4 linked regions of the Oryzias latipes genome follow. The protein of the gene in region 2 interacts with the protein of the main gene of each other region in a biochemical or structural test. Links are inferred from orthologs where the notes say so. Each region holds a gene or a part of one and is shown on either strand. Other genes may lie near its edges. The genes, in order: mapkapk5, heat shock protein beta-1, mapkapk2 and cs.

What was found.
Region 1: of the proteins of heat shock protein beta-1 (region 2) and mapkapk5, one has a biochemical effect on the other in vitro, tested with the Homo sapiens proteins (4 studies listed by BioGRID and IntAct). The link is inferred for Oryzias latipes from reciprocal best matches to the Homo sapiens genes HSPB1 and MAPKAPK5.
Region 3: of the proteins of heat shock protein beta-1 (region 2) and mapkapk2, one has a biochemical effect on the other in vitro, tested with the Homo sapiens proteins (17 studies listed by BioGRID and IntAct, with this or other methods). The link is inferred for Oryzias latipes from reciprocal best matches to the Homo sapiens genes HSPB1 and MAPKAPK2.
Region 4: the proteins of heat shock protein beta-1 (region 2) and cs form a complex in vitro, tested with the Homo sapiens proteins (2 studies listed by BioGRID). The link is inferred for Oryzias latipes from reciprocal best matches to the Homo sapiens genes HSPB1 and CS.

What each region holds. Positions count from the first base shown.
Region 1 is NC_019867.2:7,513,006-7,517,280, forward strand, and holds the end of mapkapk5 (MAP kinase-activated protein kinase 5), read left to right. Parts: intron 1-99; coding exon 100-204; intron 205-798; coding exon 799-893; 3' UTR 894-3,771; downstream 3,772-4,275. UniProt on the Homo sapiens protein: Tumor suppressor serine/threonine-protein kinase involved in mTORC1 signaling and post-transcriptional regulation. Phosphorylates FOXO3, ERK3/MAPK6, ERK4/MAPK4, HSP27/HSPB1, p53/TP53 and RHEB.
Region 2 is NC_019870.2:13,682,147-13,685,205, reverse strand, and holds heat shock protein beta-1, read left to right. Parts: upstream 1-1,244; 5' UTR 1,245-1,437; coding exon 1,438-1,810; intron 1,811-1,879; coding exon 1,880-1,943; intron 1,944-2,035; coding exon 2,036-2,195; 3' UTR 2,196-2,519; downstream 2,520-3,059. UniProt on the Homo sapiens protein: Small heat shock protein which functions as a molecular chaperone probably maintaining denatured proteins in a folding-competent state. Plays a role in stress resistance and actin organization.
Region 3 is NC_019863.2:27,980,428-27,984,445, reverse strand, and holds the start of mapkapk2 (MAP kinase-activated protein kinase 2), read left to right. Parts: upstream 1-1,206; 5' UTR 1,207-1,748; coding exon 1,749-1,988; intron 1,989-4,018. UniProt on the Homo sapiens protein: Stress-activated serine/threonine-protein kinase involved in cytokine production, endocytosis, reorganization of the cytoskeleton, cell migration, cell cycle control, chromatin remodeling, DNA damage response and transcriptional regulation.
Region 4 is NC_019865.2:22,280,315-22,283,818, forward strand, and holds the end of cs (citrate synthase, mitochondrial), read right to left. Parts: intron 3,158-3,504; coding exon 3,028-3,157; intron 1,861-3,027; coding exon 1,759-1,860; intron 1,600-1,758; coding exon 1,390-1,599; intron 1,303-1,389; coding exon 1,132-1,302; 3' UTR 549-1,131; downstream 1-548. UniProt on the Homo sapiens protein: Key enzyme of the Krebs tricarboxylic acid cycle which catalyzes the synthesis of citrate from acetyl coenzyme A and oxaloacetate.

The sequences.
Region 1 (4,275 bases), on a different chromosome or scaffold from region 2:
TTAAAAGACAACAAAGCTGTGTATCAGAAGAAAATCCCAAATAAAGATGATGAAATACAAGTGTGAGTCAGTTGCAAGTGAGAGCTTCTGCTTTTCCAGGAGAGAACAAGGATGAAAAGCTGAATGAGGTGATGTTTGAAGCCTGGAGATTCAACAGAGACTGCAAGCTGTTGAGAGACAGCCTGCAGGGGCTCAGCTGGAACGGTCAGTAGTTGTAGTTCATCCTAAAAATACATTTTATTCCTCGTTTTTTTATGTGCTTTTAGTTCAGAGACTCTGGGAGAGATCTCCAAACGAAATCCTAAAAGAAACTCAAAGGTTTTCTCAGCCGTCCATGTTGTGGGTTTCTGCACATTTATCTCCAGAAGACTTTTATATCAAAATAAAGATTTAAAGACCCACTCCGATCATCTTTTTTTGCGATTTTAGCTAAAATAAAAATAAAAAATCTGTGTCGTTTTCTAGGACATAGTTTCTACAGAGCGGCAGTAGTTCTTTCGAAATTAGCTCTTTTGAATGTCAACAGCATTTTTCCTTTGCTTCTGATTCACAACATTTGAATAAATAAATACTCAAAAATGCCATTTAAAGCTTCATTTTCTTGATATGTGTTGTCTATCGTGAGACAAATGCCACAAAAACATGTTAAAAAACCCCAAAAAATGTAATCTGAGTGGTTCTTTCAATGCAGACTCTGTAATGTCTTCCTTAAAGCCAATTCCTCCATATTTTTCCAAACTGAGGGAGATCAGAGCAAAGGACTGAGCAAGTCTTTGACCACCAGTGTTTTCATTGCAGGACGGGCCTTTTCTGATAAAGTTGATCGTTTGAAGTTGGCAGAAATCGTCAAGCTGGCCATTGAAGAGAAGACAAACCTTCAAGAATCTCACTAAAAAAAAAAGAAGCTGTCTTTCTACCCCCCTTCTCCTTTTATATTGTTTATTATCCTTTTTTTTTTAAACTCATATCTGTACAAAGGCTTTTTTTTAATGTCAAAATGATGCGCTATTCCTTTTTTTTCCTCTTTCATAAACTCACTTGCAAGACAACGTCGATCTATCGCAAGAGCTATTGTACAGCTGTAGATACATTTCAGAGAACTTGTTGGTACTTTGATTTTTTTAAAAGGACAATTGCAAAGAACAATGAAAATAGTATATATTTTACTTTTTTCAAAGAAAAAAAACTGAAGAAAAAAAACCCTACGGAAATCTGTGAAAGAAATTATTTTTGGGGAGGGAATTTTTATTAGCTGCTCATATTCAATGTCATTCATTTGATGGTAATATTTCATGATGTTATTTTATTTTAATCATCCTACTAGTTTTATTTATTGAAACAAAATTCCAATCTTTTATACATGTCATGTAGTTGGTAGTGTGCTCTACAGTTTAGAGAAGCTGTCTATAATGTGACTGTTCTTCCGCACATTTGGTCCTCATATCGGTTGTTTTTTCTTTGTTTTTGTTTTTTAACGAGATGACGAGGAGGAGCAGACGCATAAAAGTGTCATCTTGTTTCAATCACTTGTTTTAATCTTCTGAAACAGCCCCACTAAAAAAAAAAACACGCAAATCTTCTATGAAAAGTTGTTTTTTTAAGTATACAAAGGAAAAAAAATTGTTGTATTTTTACCAGGCTAGAAAGATAAAAGCATGCAAATGTGTCTCCCTTTATGGGAAAAAAAAGATGCATGCGTCTGTCGCATCTGGTCATTTTAATGGGTTAAAGCTTGTAAAAGACCTATACGAACATATCAAAGCCAAGTATGAACTTTATACGGCTTATTTAGTGTCTATGTTTGGCAAAAAAAGAAGGCTGACAATCTCCTTTTCAGAGCTTCCAGTTGTCTCTGCCTTCTTTTGAGGGTGTTGCAGGATGTGGTTAAAGATCTAAAGAAAACTTGATTCTCAAAGCATATGAGGTTCGTGCCTAGCAAATAAAAATCAACTGAATTTTTTGTTAATGTCTTTTTAAATTCCTTCCACGAGTTTGAAACGCCTCAAATTCAGTCCCGTCAAGCTTGCACCGTCGGAGCTGCTTTTTGCATAAAGTTGCTGGAATTCAGATCAGAAATGATGTTTTCATGTCAAATACTTGAGTTCAGAGGATAAAACAAAACAAAAAATCAGATGTTGGGTTTGTTCTCGTAAAAGATCAGAAAAGGGTCTGGATTTCCATCTTGAAGACTTGCAGTCCGACTTGACGTGAACTTTTTGGAGATGCGCTCAGAATGAGTGCAGCCTAGCCTATCTGCCAGTGTTACTGTTGAAGGACATTCCCTGCTTCATTTCAGTGGGCTTTTCCCCACTGAAATCAGACCTTTCATTTTATTCATATCCGAGTTTGTTTCTGTAAATGTTGACTTGACTGAAGGTTGAGTTTACTGAATGGATGACTTCAGGTTTACTCTTTTTCATCTGCAGCTCTGATGCTTTACATGTCTTTCTTCCCTTTATGAAACGCTGCATCTCTCTTTTATAACAGGAAATGTTCCGCTTGCATATTGTGACCTTTTGCGAGGCGAAGTGCTGCAAACATTGGCCAAACGTCTCCGCTGTCCAGTGAAATCTCTCTGATTGGGATCGTTGATATCTTTACTTTCAACAGGCCTGCAGAAAAAGTCTTCCTTTGTGTGCTGATCTTTCCAGTTTGGTGTAAAAGTGACAAAAGTTGAAGTACAAATGTAGCTCGGAGAGAGCGTTTTCAGTCCTGAAAGCTCAAAGACGACCACAGCTTGTGTTTGATGGACCTTTATTTTGGTGAACTCTTGCACGCTAATGTGCCTTGTGCAAAGGGCAGCGTTTATTGTTCTTACTTACAGAAATGGATCACAGAGAGGTCAATCAGAAGAGGGGAAAGATGGACAGTGGTCCTTTTCTCATTCCACAACTCGTCACAGAGTTGAAGTACGTTCACACTAATGCCATGTTTGATGAGACATCATTTGCCCTTGTTCAACAGTTTTTTTCCCCCGTTTATCTCAGCTGAAACACTAAGAATATGCAGTTTGCAGATCTAACTGCAATGTTTAAAGCCTATTTCAATTAAAAGCGAATGTTATTTCTGCCTGTGGTTATGGCCAACATCTACAGCAGCAGGGTAAACTGCCTGAACTCTTTATAGATCTGACATTTTTATTGTTTTTAATCCACAAAAGGCTGTTTTTTTTCCTTCTACAAAATAAGAGGTTAATGAATACTTGAATACAAATGTGTGGACAACCATTTTGCAAACTTGTTATAGCCAGAAGCTCATTTAAAGCTTCTTTATATTTTTTATTTACCCATAAAATTGATCAAACTACAAATTAAAGTACGAAAGTATTGAGAATAAGCATGTTCTGCACTGTTCATCAGCTGTTTTCTGCTCCACATTTCTAATACAATTGCATATTTGAACAGATTTATCTTAAGGAGCTACTACAGATTTTTTTTTAATTAGTAGCATCTTCTTGGAGGTTTTTATTAGTAGCAATCCTAATTTCAGATGTTAACCTGCCCCTTTTTTTTAGCATCTCATTGAAATGATAGAAACAGTAGCTTTTGATTTCCTTTGGGAACTTGCACTCTGAGAATGAACAAACTCCTGCTGTTGTAACTGCAATGACATGTCCATTTCAAATTGGGGGAATGTTGACAAATTCATTTTCTGAGTGGCTGTATTTTCCGTTTCCACATGCATTTGTGCCCCGTTTGCCTTCTCAGAATGTCTTCAACATGCTGACTTTGTAATAAAATACAATAAAATTTCAGCATTGTAAAAACGTCTGATTAATGGGGGTCTTTTTATTTTTTTACATTGGCCAAAAGTGGAAGTTTAATTTTACACAATTTTAAATAAAATGAATAGGAATGCAGCTGTTTGTCATATCTAGTACTTTCTTTATTGCAGACTAAAGATAGAAACTCACCTTAAAAGGAAAAAAAAAGACTTCAGATATTTTAAAGCATTTTTTAATTAGGTGGAAATCAGACGCAAAAATCAAACTTTGTGAAGCCGATCAATATAAAGTTATTTTCATGAGGTCTGTAGCAACAGTGATATTAAAGTAGGTTGTTTTTTTTGCAGGTGGAAAAGTTATAAACCACAAAACAGTTTATGTACACTTTACCACACAAAAGTAATCTATGCACATCAGTGGCCCCCCTTATATTTATGACAGGAAGTTAACCCAATTACAAGCCTCAAGCCTCCACTTCAGGAAGTAAAGCTTTAAAGCTTGACAGACCAGATCCATTTTTAAACTTTAAGGACACGTTTATTCCCAACTGC
Region 2 (3,059 bases):
CATAACATTGTATTGATGCACTAACCTTTAAAATTCCAGCTTTTTTTTTGGCCTTTTTTTGATTAGTAGAAAGTGTATTCTTTTTAATTTTTAAGTGATAAAAAACGGATTCCATCTAATGTTTGACATCAAAATAGGTATTTGCACATTGCCAATCCATCACATCATTAGCATCTGGCTGCTATATGTATATCTACCAGTTTTTTTACACTCTGCAATTTAAGACACTTATGCAAAGCTTGTAAAATAAACTTTAGTGAAGTTTGCCCTTACTTTGACCCTAACCTTAACCATAAGTATTGCACACAAATGCACAAATACATATTAGCTGGATGATAACACTATTTTACAGAGGCCAATGCACTTGTGAGCTACAGTAAAATGTTACAGTATATTCACTTTATTTGGTTTCTTATCACACACATTAACTCTGGGTTATTTCCAAGAATTTTTGGATTTACAACTGAAGAGCGTTTTCCTTTCGATGACCCTAAAACACCTTTAAACTGATCTATGCTCATATTTTCATTGATTGCACACTTTAGACTTTTTTATATTCATTAGTAAACTAGCAATAGCACAGCTAAACTTCAGGCAATATTTTCTTTTAACATGTGCTTAATAACATTCTTAAGCAGACTGACATCAAGTCTGTTGTAACCTGGTGTGTCAAACATTAAAACCTGATAAACAATGAAATGTTTATGAGCAGAGTTCAGAAATATTCACGTTGCCTCCCTGATAAATGCCATTCCTCAGATAATTTATCTCACTCAAGCTCGGTTTATTTTTTGAACCCATGAAGATGTTTCTGTGAAATTCCACACCAGCTCCAGAACTCCATAGTCTTTCTCTCCATCTGTTTTTACCAGCTGTAAACACGTCTTTATCTTCTTCACCCTGAGATCCTGTTTGCTCTGCAGTTTTGCTCTTAAGTTAAGTTGGGAGGCTAAAAGCAACGCTTGTGTTTACCGTTTGACTTTTTGTGTGCTGCTTCACATGCAGCTGTGGTTTCGGTGGACAAAGAGCTCCAGTATGTGACGGGACTGCAGAGGCCATGGCTGAATGACACGACTTCTCCCTGCTTCCAGAATCATTCCCCAACAACTTACCGGAGACACTCAAAAGATATAAATACACATAATTGGCATTGTCCTCTCCGAGTCCCAGGGCAACAGGAGAGTTGACGCCCCGGCCCATCACATTTCATCCCTTACATCACACTTGTTAAAGCACAAGTGTGAAGAGGAGGCCGTTGGTTATATAAAGCGTGTGAGTGGATTGCTGCGGACTCCAAAATAGGCTTTTCCCCAAACCTCCTGCTTACTTACAGTTTTTGAGTTTCGTTTTGGTTGGTCTGATCTCGTCTTGCATTTTTCTGTCAGGTGGGAGCAAGAGCTTTTATTTTCAGTCTCCTTTTCTTGAGTTTTGAACCACATGGGTGATCAAAATAAAACACTATCCCGGCCCATATTCCGTCGAGATGTCCGCTGGGATCCTTTCCCAAACTGGACTCAGCCAAGCCGTATTTTTGCCCAGGACTTCGGCATTCCTCCTTTCCTGGAGCCCAATGATCTGGACTGGCTTGACTGGGCAAAAAAGAGACTGGCTTCTTTCTCCTGGCCGGGTTACACGCAAAGCCCCCTCCTGCCTCCCATCACGCCGGACCAGAAGAGTCTGAGACAACTGACTAGCGGTGTGTCTGAGGTGAGAACGGGGCAAAACAGCTGGAAGATCAACCTGGACGTCAATCATTTTTCACCCGAAGAGATCTCCATCAGCACAAAGGATGGCTACTTGCAAATATCAGGTACGTAGGCTTAATTTTTTTTCATTTTATACATAAAGATGTTTATTAATAATTACTGTTTTTTTTAAGGAACTCATGAAGAAAAGCAAGATGAACACAGTTTGGTTTCAAGATGTTTCACTCGTAAATACAAGTAAGGAGGCTGAGAAGCAAATTCGAGACACATTTAGGATGCGACCGTAACATATTTCTGTTTGTGACAAACGTTCTCTCATTTTTTTCGAGGTTACCACAAGGGGTGAATCTGCAGCACATCAGCTCATCCCTGTCCTCAGAAGGAATGTTGTCCGTAGAAGCTCCCGTCCCAGGAACATCCATCAGCAGCCCGGACAATGAGATCGTCATCCCCGTTCAGACCAAAAAGACACAGGACAGTGAGAAATGAACATAGTGAGCAGAAAGTAGCTCAAACTGTGCATAGCAGCAATTATTAAAATTACACAAAGCAGACTAGATTGCTTAAATTTAATGTTATCATTTGCTTTTTGGGAGATTTGAGACTTTTATAATCTAATTTAAACTTAATAAAAAGCAGAAATGGTATTGGATCCAATAAAACAAACCCTTGCTGTCCTTTTTAATTTTGTAATTTTGCACTAAAATTTTGTTTACTATAAACTGGTCTTTATCTTACTGTTCTTGTAGAATGATTGTATTATGCAATTTCAGCCTTCACAATGAAACAGAAATAAAATTTGGTAAAAATACATTTCTTTCACAGATTGTGGTTTTGTCACAATATTCATTCTTGCAGCTCAAACTTTTTTTTAACATGAAAACTTACACCTAAAAACAGGTCAGAGGTCACCAATTTTTTACAACCCATAATAACTAACAGTATATTGTAAGGATCAATATTTTAGGCAAGGACACGGAAAAAAGAATAGACAAAAAAAGTCTTTTTGTAGCTGTGCAGCAAAAATTTACTGTTACTAAATTTAAAACGGTGTGAAGTATGATATTGTTTGTACGAGGTTTCTGAAAATATTATATCATTACCTTGTAAAACAGTTTTAACTGCAAATTTAATAAAGATTTAAAGACTTAACTTAATTTTTTTACCTCTTAAAAACTCTACCTTAATTTGGGGGAAATGGAGACAGCACTCCAAAGTTATATAAAACAAAAATAAAACAAATCTAATATTAATAAAAAGACAAACTTAAAATTAAATTAGTTTTGCTCTTTCCCCCCCCTTTAAAGTTCTCTTTAAGTACAAAAGGTCAAAGTTCACTATTTATGCTGATCT
Region 3 (4,018 bases), on a different chromosome or scaffold from region 2:
TGGATATCACAAATTTTAGTTTCAATTGCAATTTTATTAGTCACATATATATATATATTCAATAAAACTCGCTTTGTGCTGCTTTCCAACATGTAAATATTGCATGAGTGAATTTTTAAGACAAATTTGAAGGAGAAATGAATGAATAAAAATATATAATTACTAAAAACATTTGCAATCTTAAGATAAAAACAAATAAATAAATAAACGGCGGGCCGGGAGAAATTTGAATGAGGGCCTAAGGGCCTGACTTTGGACATGCTTGTTTTAAGCCATTTAAAATTCATATGAACTCATAGTACTTTAGTGAATTTTCTGTCTGTGTTCTTTGTAAGTTTTGTCCTGGTATTCCAAACGCTTGTTTGTCTAACTGTTGTTGAAAACTAGAGGCAGTCACTTCCGCTTGATCATATTTGGTGGAATTTTTTGTTTTATCTTTTTAGGCACAAAGACCACAGGTTCTCTATTTGGTCTATGTTTTCTCCTTTCTAAAAATAGATAGTTTGCATTTATATTCTCATGGAATAAAGTGACTAAAGCTGACGGTTGCTGCTCCAATTTTTCTTTCACTTCACTAGGGGACAAATATTATTATAGGTCTTTATTATAAATTATAAATAAGTGTCAGGACATTTGTTTTTTACTATACGTTTCACTTTTGTATGTAATTGAAATAAACAACAATGCAGGATTCGTGTGACTAACTTGCATTACACTGATTATTATAGGATTGGTGCTAACCGGGGGGCAAAACTCCCAAAAAACTCCAACCAGATCCAATGCATGCAATTTTCTGGACTGTCGGGGAAAAATAATGTTCTGGTCCAACCAAAACCCTTCTCACAGTGCGACAACTGGTTATTTCAGGTTTAATTCCAGGTTTTAACGCCTAACCTTGAGGTAACCTATGGTGTTCATGGAGTCAGAGATTACTGGGTCTATTTTTGTCCTGCTCTCCCTCTGCTGCCTCAATACTATGAGAGAGGGTCTCTTCTAATAAACGCTAAAGCTACAAAATAAAAGTCGAGCTGCTGGTTTGGAGAACTTTGTTGCCATTTTCCAATATCCAGAAAAAAACGGGGACACTTTTAGACTTTGAGGCATGTTGTGTCGCCTCGCTGACGGTACTCGTGGTCTGATTTATATTCGGCTCTTCCTGCTATCTCACTTCTCCTTTAAGTAGCGAACATCCCCCTCGCCGTGACGTCACCAACAGACCTGCTGGGTGTCTGCTTCACCAGAAACTGAAGTGGTTTTGCTAAGCGAATCGGACTTTCCCCCCCTCTTTTGTTTTGTCTTTTCAATAGCGTTTGGTTTTCTTTGATAACTTTAACGGGAAGGTGTCCTTTGACCTGCGATGAAAACTGGCGCCGTGGCGTACTTAGAGGATGTTTCGGAAAAGTTTCAGGAGCTTTCTTTGAGGAACCGGTAAAAGGCAGAAACACCCGGAGATGTATAAGCTAACCCCCTAGCTTCGCCGCTAGCCAAGAATCCGATCAATAGCTCACAGGGCAGGATCGAAAAATGCTAGCATGCTAACCGCGAGCTAGTTTAGCTTTTGTCGGCTAACCAATTGACTTTTTTCCAACCTGTAACGTCACAACTACTGTCAGCTAGTCCCCGGGCCTGGGTCCGTACTGCTCAAAGGCCAGCTAACCAAGGAAGAGTTAGTTTGTTTTAAAGGAAAATAGCAGAGCGGCATTGTTGAGAGGTGACGTCCGTTCATCTCTCAGCCTCGACTAGTAAACATGCTGTCCAACGCTCAGAACCAACCACTCTTTCCAAACCCGGCGGGTCAACAGAACCCGGGTGAGCAGCAAAACCCCACGGGCCAGTTCGTCTCTTTCCACTCTAAACCCACCCTACAAATTAAGAAGAACGCCATCACAGACGAGTACAAGGTGACCAACCAGGTGTTGGGGCTGGGCATCAATGGAAAAGTGCTGGAAATCTTCCACAAGAAGACCGGCGACAAGTTTGCGCTGAAGGTAGGTCTAAGTTTCGGTGGGTCCTAGTTTCTGACGTTGTCACATGTGGGAACTACTAGGCTCTCACAGCTCAGACTAAACAGCTTTTGAGGTTTTGCACAAGTCTTGATGATGATGGGGTTGCTGTTGCTCTGTCTGTGGGTCAAGCGTTTAGCCAATTGGTTGTCCAAGGGTTCAAATCCCAGGTAACTTGTCTGTGGTTCTATGGCTTCTGGCCTTACATTGTCTCAACAGTAAAACAACAATACATCTCTAGAGATACAATTATTTTTTTGGCTGTAACTTATTGGGTAGAGCTGCTGTCTGTCAGCCAATTAGCTGGGGGTTCAAATCCCAGACTTGGCAGTCATTACAGACAGGACAAAAAAACAAACATCCCACGTCAAATCTAAATGCTACTTATCCTTATTTTTATTTATTTTTATTTCTTTAATTCTTATTTTTATTTTCTTCACTTCAGCAAACCAGTTTTAAAGTAACATTTTAGACTAAACAATACAAAACCATATTTTGGTCTGTGTCTTCTACTGGTTTTAGTGGACATTTTGTGTTGGGTAATTATTAATACACAACAAATATCTTAAAAGATACACACACACACACACACACACACACACACACACACACACACACACACACACACACACACACACACACACACACGGGTGTTATCACACATATCACAGTAGAATGTATTCTATTATTGTATGTTTTAACTCCTGGTGAGGGCAGTTTGCGTAAACTGTGAACAATAAACAATAGTAAATCACCACCAAAGAAAATGTTACAGATCTAGTTAAAGTAGTAAATTACGGTCACAACTTTCTGCTTTCCAGTTATAAACACAAACTATGGTTACTCCTGCTTGGTGTGTAATTTGTGTTTAAGGGTTGGTAGATTGTGAGAAGCTCAACTATGTATGCATACTCCCATAATGTCACAAGTGAGTACTTCTACTCTCAATATATATAAGTACAAAAAGGGAAGTAGAATTTATCTGTGGGAATGTGATCTGCAGTAAGGAATTAGGTCATCATTATTTGTATAGGTTAAAACTGCAGTTTTTTGTTTTTTACAAATGCAAACCAATACTATCTTGATTGTTTGCATAGTTTTGATTTTGTGGTCAGTAAACAAAGCAAAACATTTGATATAAAGCTCAGTCCACAGTTTAAAATACAAAAAGGCATCTGAGATGACTGAGAGTTGAAGCTTAAGATCTGTGTTGTAGTATTCTCTTTTAAAATAGCATACTTTTAACGAACCACCTTAACAAACTGGCTCTGTGGGTTTGCCGTTCAGTGGAAACATTTCTTCGGTCACTTTGTGCACCACTAAATAGGAAGCATTGTTCAAAGAGCTGAAAGGCCAAAAGCTTTAATGCTTGGAAGTTGGTGTCGACTTAACCCTTGTGCTATCTTAGATGACCCCTCCCTTACCTTGACGTGTTATTCCTACCATGACAAAGGTGGAGAAAGGTGGAAAGATTTCATGTAATCCATGGACACCAATGAAGATCACAGATCATTGAAGAAAAAAGGTTCAGAGCACTGTCTAGTGGGTCTAGATGACCCAACTCCAAACGTTTAAGTGCTTAGGATAGCACAAGGGTTATGAGGTTGCAGCTGGGGTAGAATGGCACTTATGGTGTAGTTGATGACCACTGAAGTGCACGTCTCTGCGTGTTTATAGGTGGCATGCAGTGTTATTGTGGACTGTGTAATGTTTTGAATACATCCATAGCAGTCCATTAGTTTGCTCTTTATATTATTTTCATAACTTCATTTTTTTATGTTTTGTGTCAGTGTTGCTGTATAAAAGCGTTCATAATAACTCCCCATAAACGTTTACCCTTTACATTAGCCGTCACCCCCTTTTTCCTAATATTTTTCTTTCCATTTGTGTTTTTTGGACTGTCAGTAACATGAAGAAACTGGAGAAACTTACAGTTGAGCATATGGATCTTTATTGTGGATTCTAAATATGGAGCCTTAATAAACTAGCTGTTGAAATTTATCATGAAAAAGTTA
Region 4 (3,504 bases), on a different chromosome or scaffold from region 2:
TGAGCTCATACATTCAAGCTATACATATATATACCTATGTACACAAAGTATAAATAAAACCACAACATGAGAACCCACACTATATTTTTATACATATCAAACACCCCTCAAAAAAACAAACAGGGAGGGGGTTCTTTATCTGCTACAGGGTGGGAAAACCAATCAAGCAAGTGCTCACTGTTGAGTAGACGATGTTTAAAGCGCTTTCCTGTGATGACAAAGTCAAACCTACGCTAAAAATACAATAAGTCCCTCCCATAATCCCACGTTTCATTCAAGCTTGCTTTTAAAGATCACACGGGCTGCAAATTCCAAACACCCGCCGGCCAAATGTACATTACATCTTCTTCCATTCTCGTTAAGACCTTTCAAAACCCCATAAAAAAAAGAAGAAGAAAGAGTTAGCTGTCGTACGTCTACACAAACGAGTTATTTTGATCGTAGAGGTAATACAGGTCAGCTATTGGACAACAAAAGGAGATCACAGATTTAAAGGGGCAGTATCTTTTAAGCATATTTTTAAAAAAAAAATTTTTTTTTAAATCAGATTGCACACTGTTTTACTAATCAGGACCTTGTTTTTTTTAGCTGGAGTGTTAGTAAGTGGGAGTGAAATAAACAGATGAGATTTGATTGCATAGAAGAAACATAAGTTAATTTTTTTTTCCCCCGGACTTTTACTCCAGAAGAAAAAGAATAGTTGGCTAAAAGCAGCAAATGTTTAGTATATTCCAATTAAGCCTTTTTTTTTTTTTTTTTTTAAATGGCATTTAGTTTACTTCCATGATTCCCTTTGAATACCTCTCTGCTTACTCATAAGTCAATGTTTGATGGGAAACACTCAAGCAGACGTAGCTTGAGCCTATCCAAGGTTGAATGTCTGTGTTTGAAGTTTGCTCCATTCTTGTATTAAATGTGCAGATACAACAGGAAATCTCGTCAGCGGCTCACTTAAACGTTTCATCGCTAACGGTGTGACAAATTAAAAGGCCCTTCTTAAGTGAAATAGCATTAAAAGCATACTGAATCCCGTTAAATCCCTTGGGTTGGAAAACGACGTTGGGTCAACTGATGTCTGCCTTCTGATGTTTCTGAACCTTCCTACCCTTCTCACTAAACGCCCAGCTCCTCTCAACCAGACTTGGATCCAACCAGAGACATCAATCCGTCCGTGCTCATGGACTTGGGACGCTCCAGAGGGAAGCCCAGCGCCCTACTCCACACGAGCTGGGCCAGGACGCCGAGGGCGCGAGACACGCCAAAAAGGACAGTGTAGTAGTTCATCTCCGTCATTCCATAGTACTGCGCACACGGGGAAAGCAGAGTCAGACACCCCTCAATCAGGATTAGCCTAATCTTCATCTGATGAAGATTAATGAGATGTCTCACCTGCAGAAGAACACCGCTGTGAGCGTCCACGTTGGGCCAGGGGTTCTTCGCCTTCCCCTGTTCCAGCAGGACATTGGGCACAATCTTGTAAAGCTGGGCAACCAGTTTAAACATGGGGTCATTGGGCAGATGTTTCAGGGCAAACTCGCGCTGACAAGTGTAACGCGGGTCGGTCTTTCTCAGGACAGCATGGCCATAGCCCGGCACCACCTACAGTGAGGAAAACGAAAGGACGATCTTGTCATTTGGGGAACTTTCTGTGGATTACAGCTAAATGTTTGGAAGTATTTTCTAAACTCCAGACAACAGATGAGGCCAGAACTGGCTTTTAAACACAAATGTATACTGGAAGTGTGAGAATCCAGTTACCCGTCCAGATTTGAGGGTGTTCCAGATGTAGTCCCTCATCCTTTCATCAGAAACCTCCCCGCCCAGCTCCTTCTGCAGGGCGGTCAGCCACACCAGCACCTCCTGTCCACACAAAACCACACAGGCAGCAGGGATGCATGAGGAATCCTCATAATGACGGATCTACATTAAATCCTGATCAATAACGTCAACCGACTCCTGAATGATGAGTCAGCTATTTTAGTAAATAAAGAACAACCGGGCAAATATCAAGTAAACATGTTTGCTTTGGAAATACAAAATGTCAGGGTTGTTGCTACAATCAACAAACACGACACTTTTGCTGTGAGGAGAAATGGACAACGACGCAGAGGAAGGAAGTACCGGTAATCTTTACTTTAACAGAAGTACATTTGTGTACCATTCCATTCCAAAGACTAGTTTCACAGAACCATACTTTGACTTAAAGTAAAAAACAGTTACAAACGTATGAATCAGTTTATATATTTCTTCTTTTTTTTAAATAACATTTGTTTTATGAATTTAAGAAATGCTTGACAACATTGGAATGTGATTGATATCATCTGAAACCACAAAATGATGATTAGCCGGCATAAATATTTCTGCTGAGTCATTCAGCTTTGACTATCCAGCATTAAATGAACAAATCATGTTAGTGCAGAAAACATAAAAATATAGTTTTCATTAATTTAAAGACTGAAGAGAAACTTGTTGTCTGGGTAATTGATTTTAAAACAATGGTATCATTGCTTTTTCCATTTTTATTTGCATCTTCCACTGTATGAGAAGGAACTTTATTTTGGAAAACACTTCTGCAAAAAGAGTTTTTAATAAAGGTTGGTGGAAAGATGTTGATTTATTTGAAAATAGGATCATTTGCTATGATGTGATCATATTTTATATAATTTGTTTGAAAATATTATATTTTATAAAATCTCAACAAATACAGAGCCACAAGACCTTAAGTATACATTTCCTTTTTCACTCTCAGCTAATCGGAAAACCAGATGTGTTTTCAGAGGCAACATTAGCCAACCTGTATTTTCCCCCCCAACTACCGGTAGCTAGTTTGGGAAAAATACCAGTTAGACAAATAACTCTCAAAGTTAACACAAAACTATAAAGCTTATCTGCATCCTTACACTGAAATTGGTTAATGATTCTTACGTTTGTAGTGTTTTTTTTTCACAGACTTGCTGTGGCTGAAACAAACACACAACATTTGTGTTGTTCTGGAGGGAAGGGTGTGTGTGAAAGTTGAGTACAAACCTGATTGGCCAACCCGTGGAGAGGACCGGCCAGACCATTCATGGCGGCGCTGAAGGACAGATAGGGATCAGACAGGGCGCTGCCTACGAGGTGGCTTGTGTGTGCACTGACATTGCCGCCTTCATGGTCACTAAAGAATGAAAAGACAGAGGAAACACCAAAGAAACGTAAATAAATACATTTAAAAAAAAAAACATATGGAATTTGATTAAGCAAACACAATTTCCATGATTTCTAATTCATATTATAGCAAAGTAACACAATGTCAAGAAAAGAAAAGAAATGAAGACAGACATGGGTTTAACCATTTCAGTTCTAAAGCACCAGCTGTTTAGGAACCATGTTTTCTTTTATACACCTTATTTATACTAAATATTACTTTAAGATAAAGTTCTGAATATGTGTCTTAAAGTAACAAGAATTTTCCCAAAAACTACTCTGATGAGAAACCAACTGTCGATAGAAAACTTCGAAACT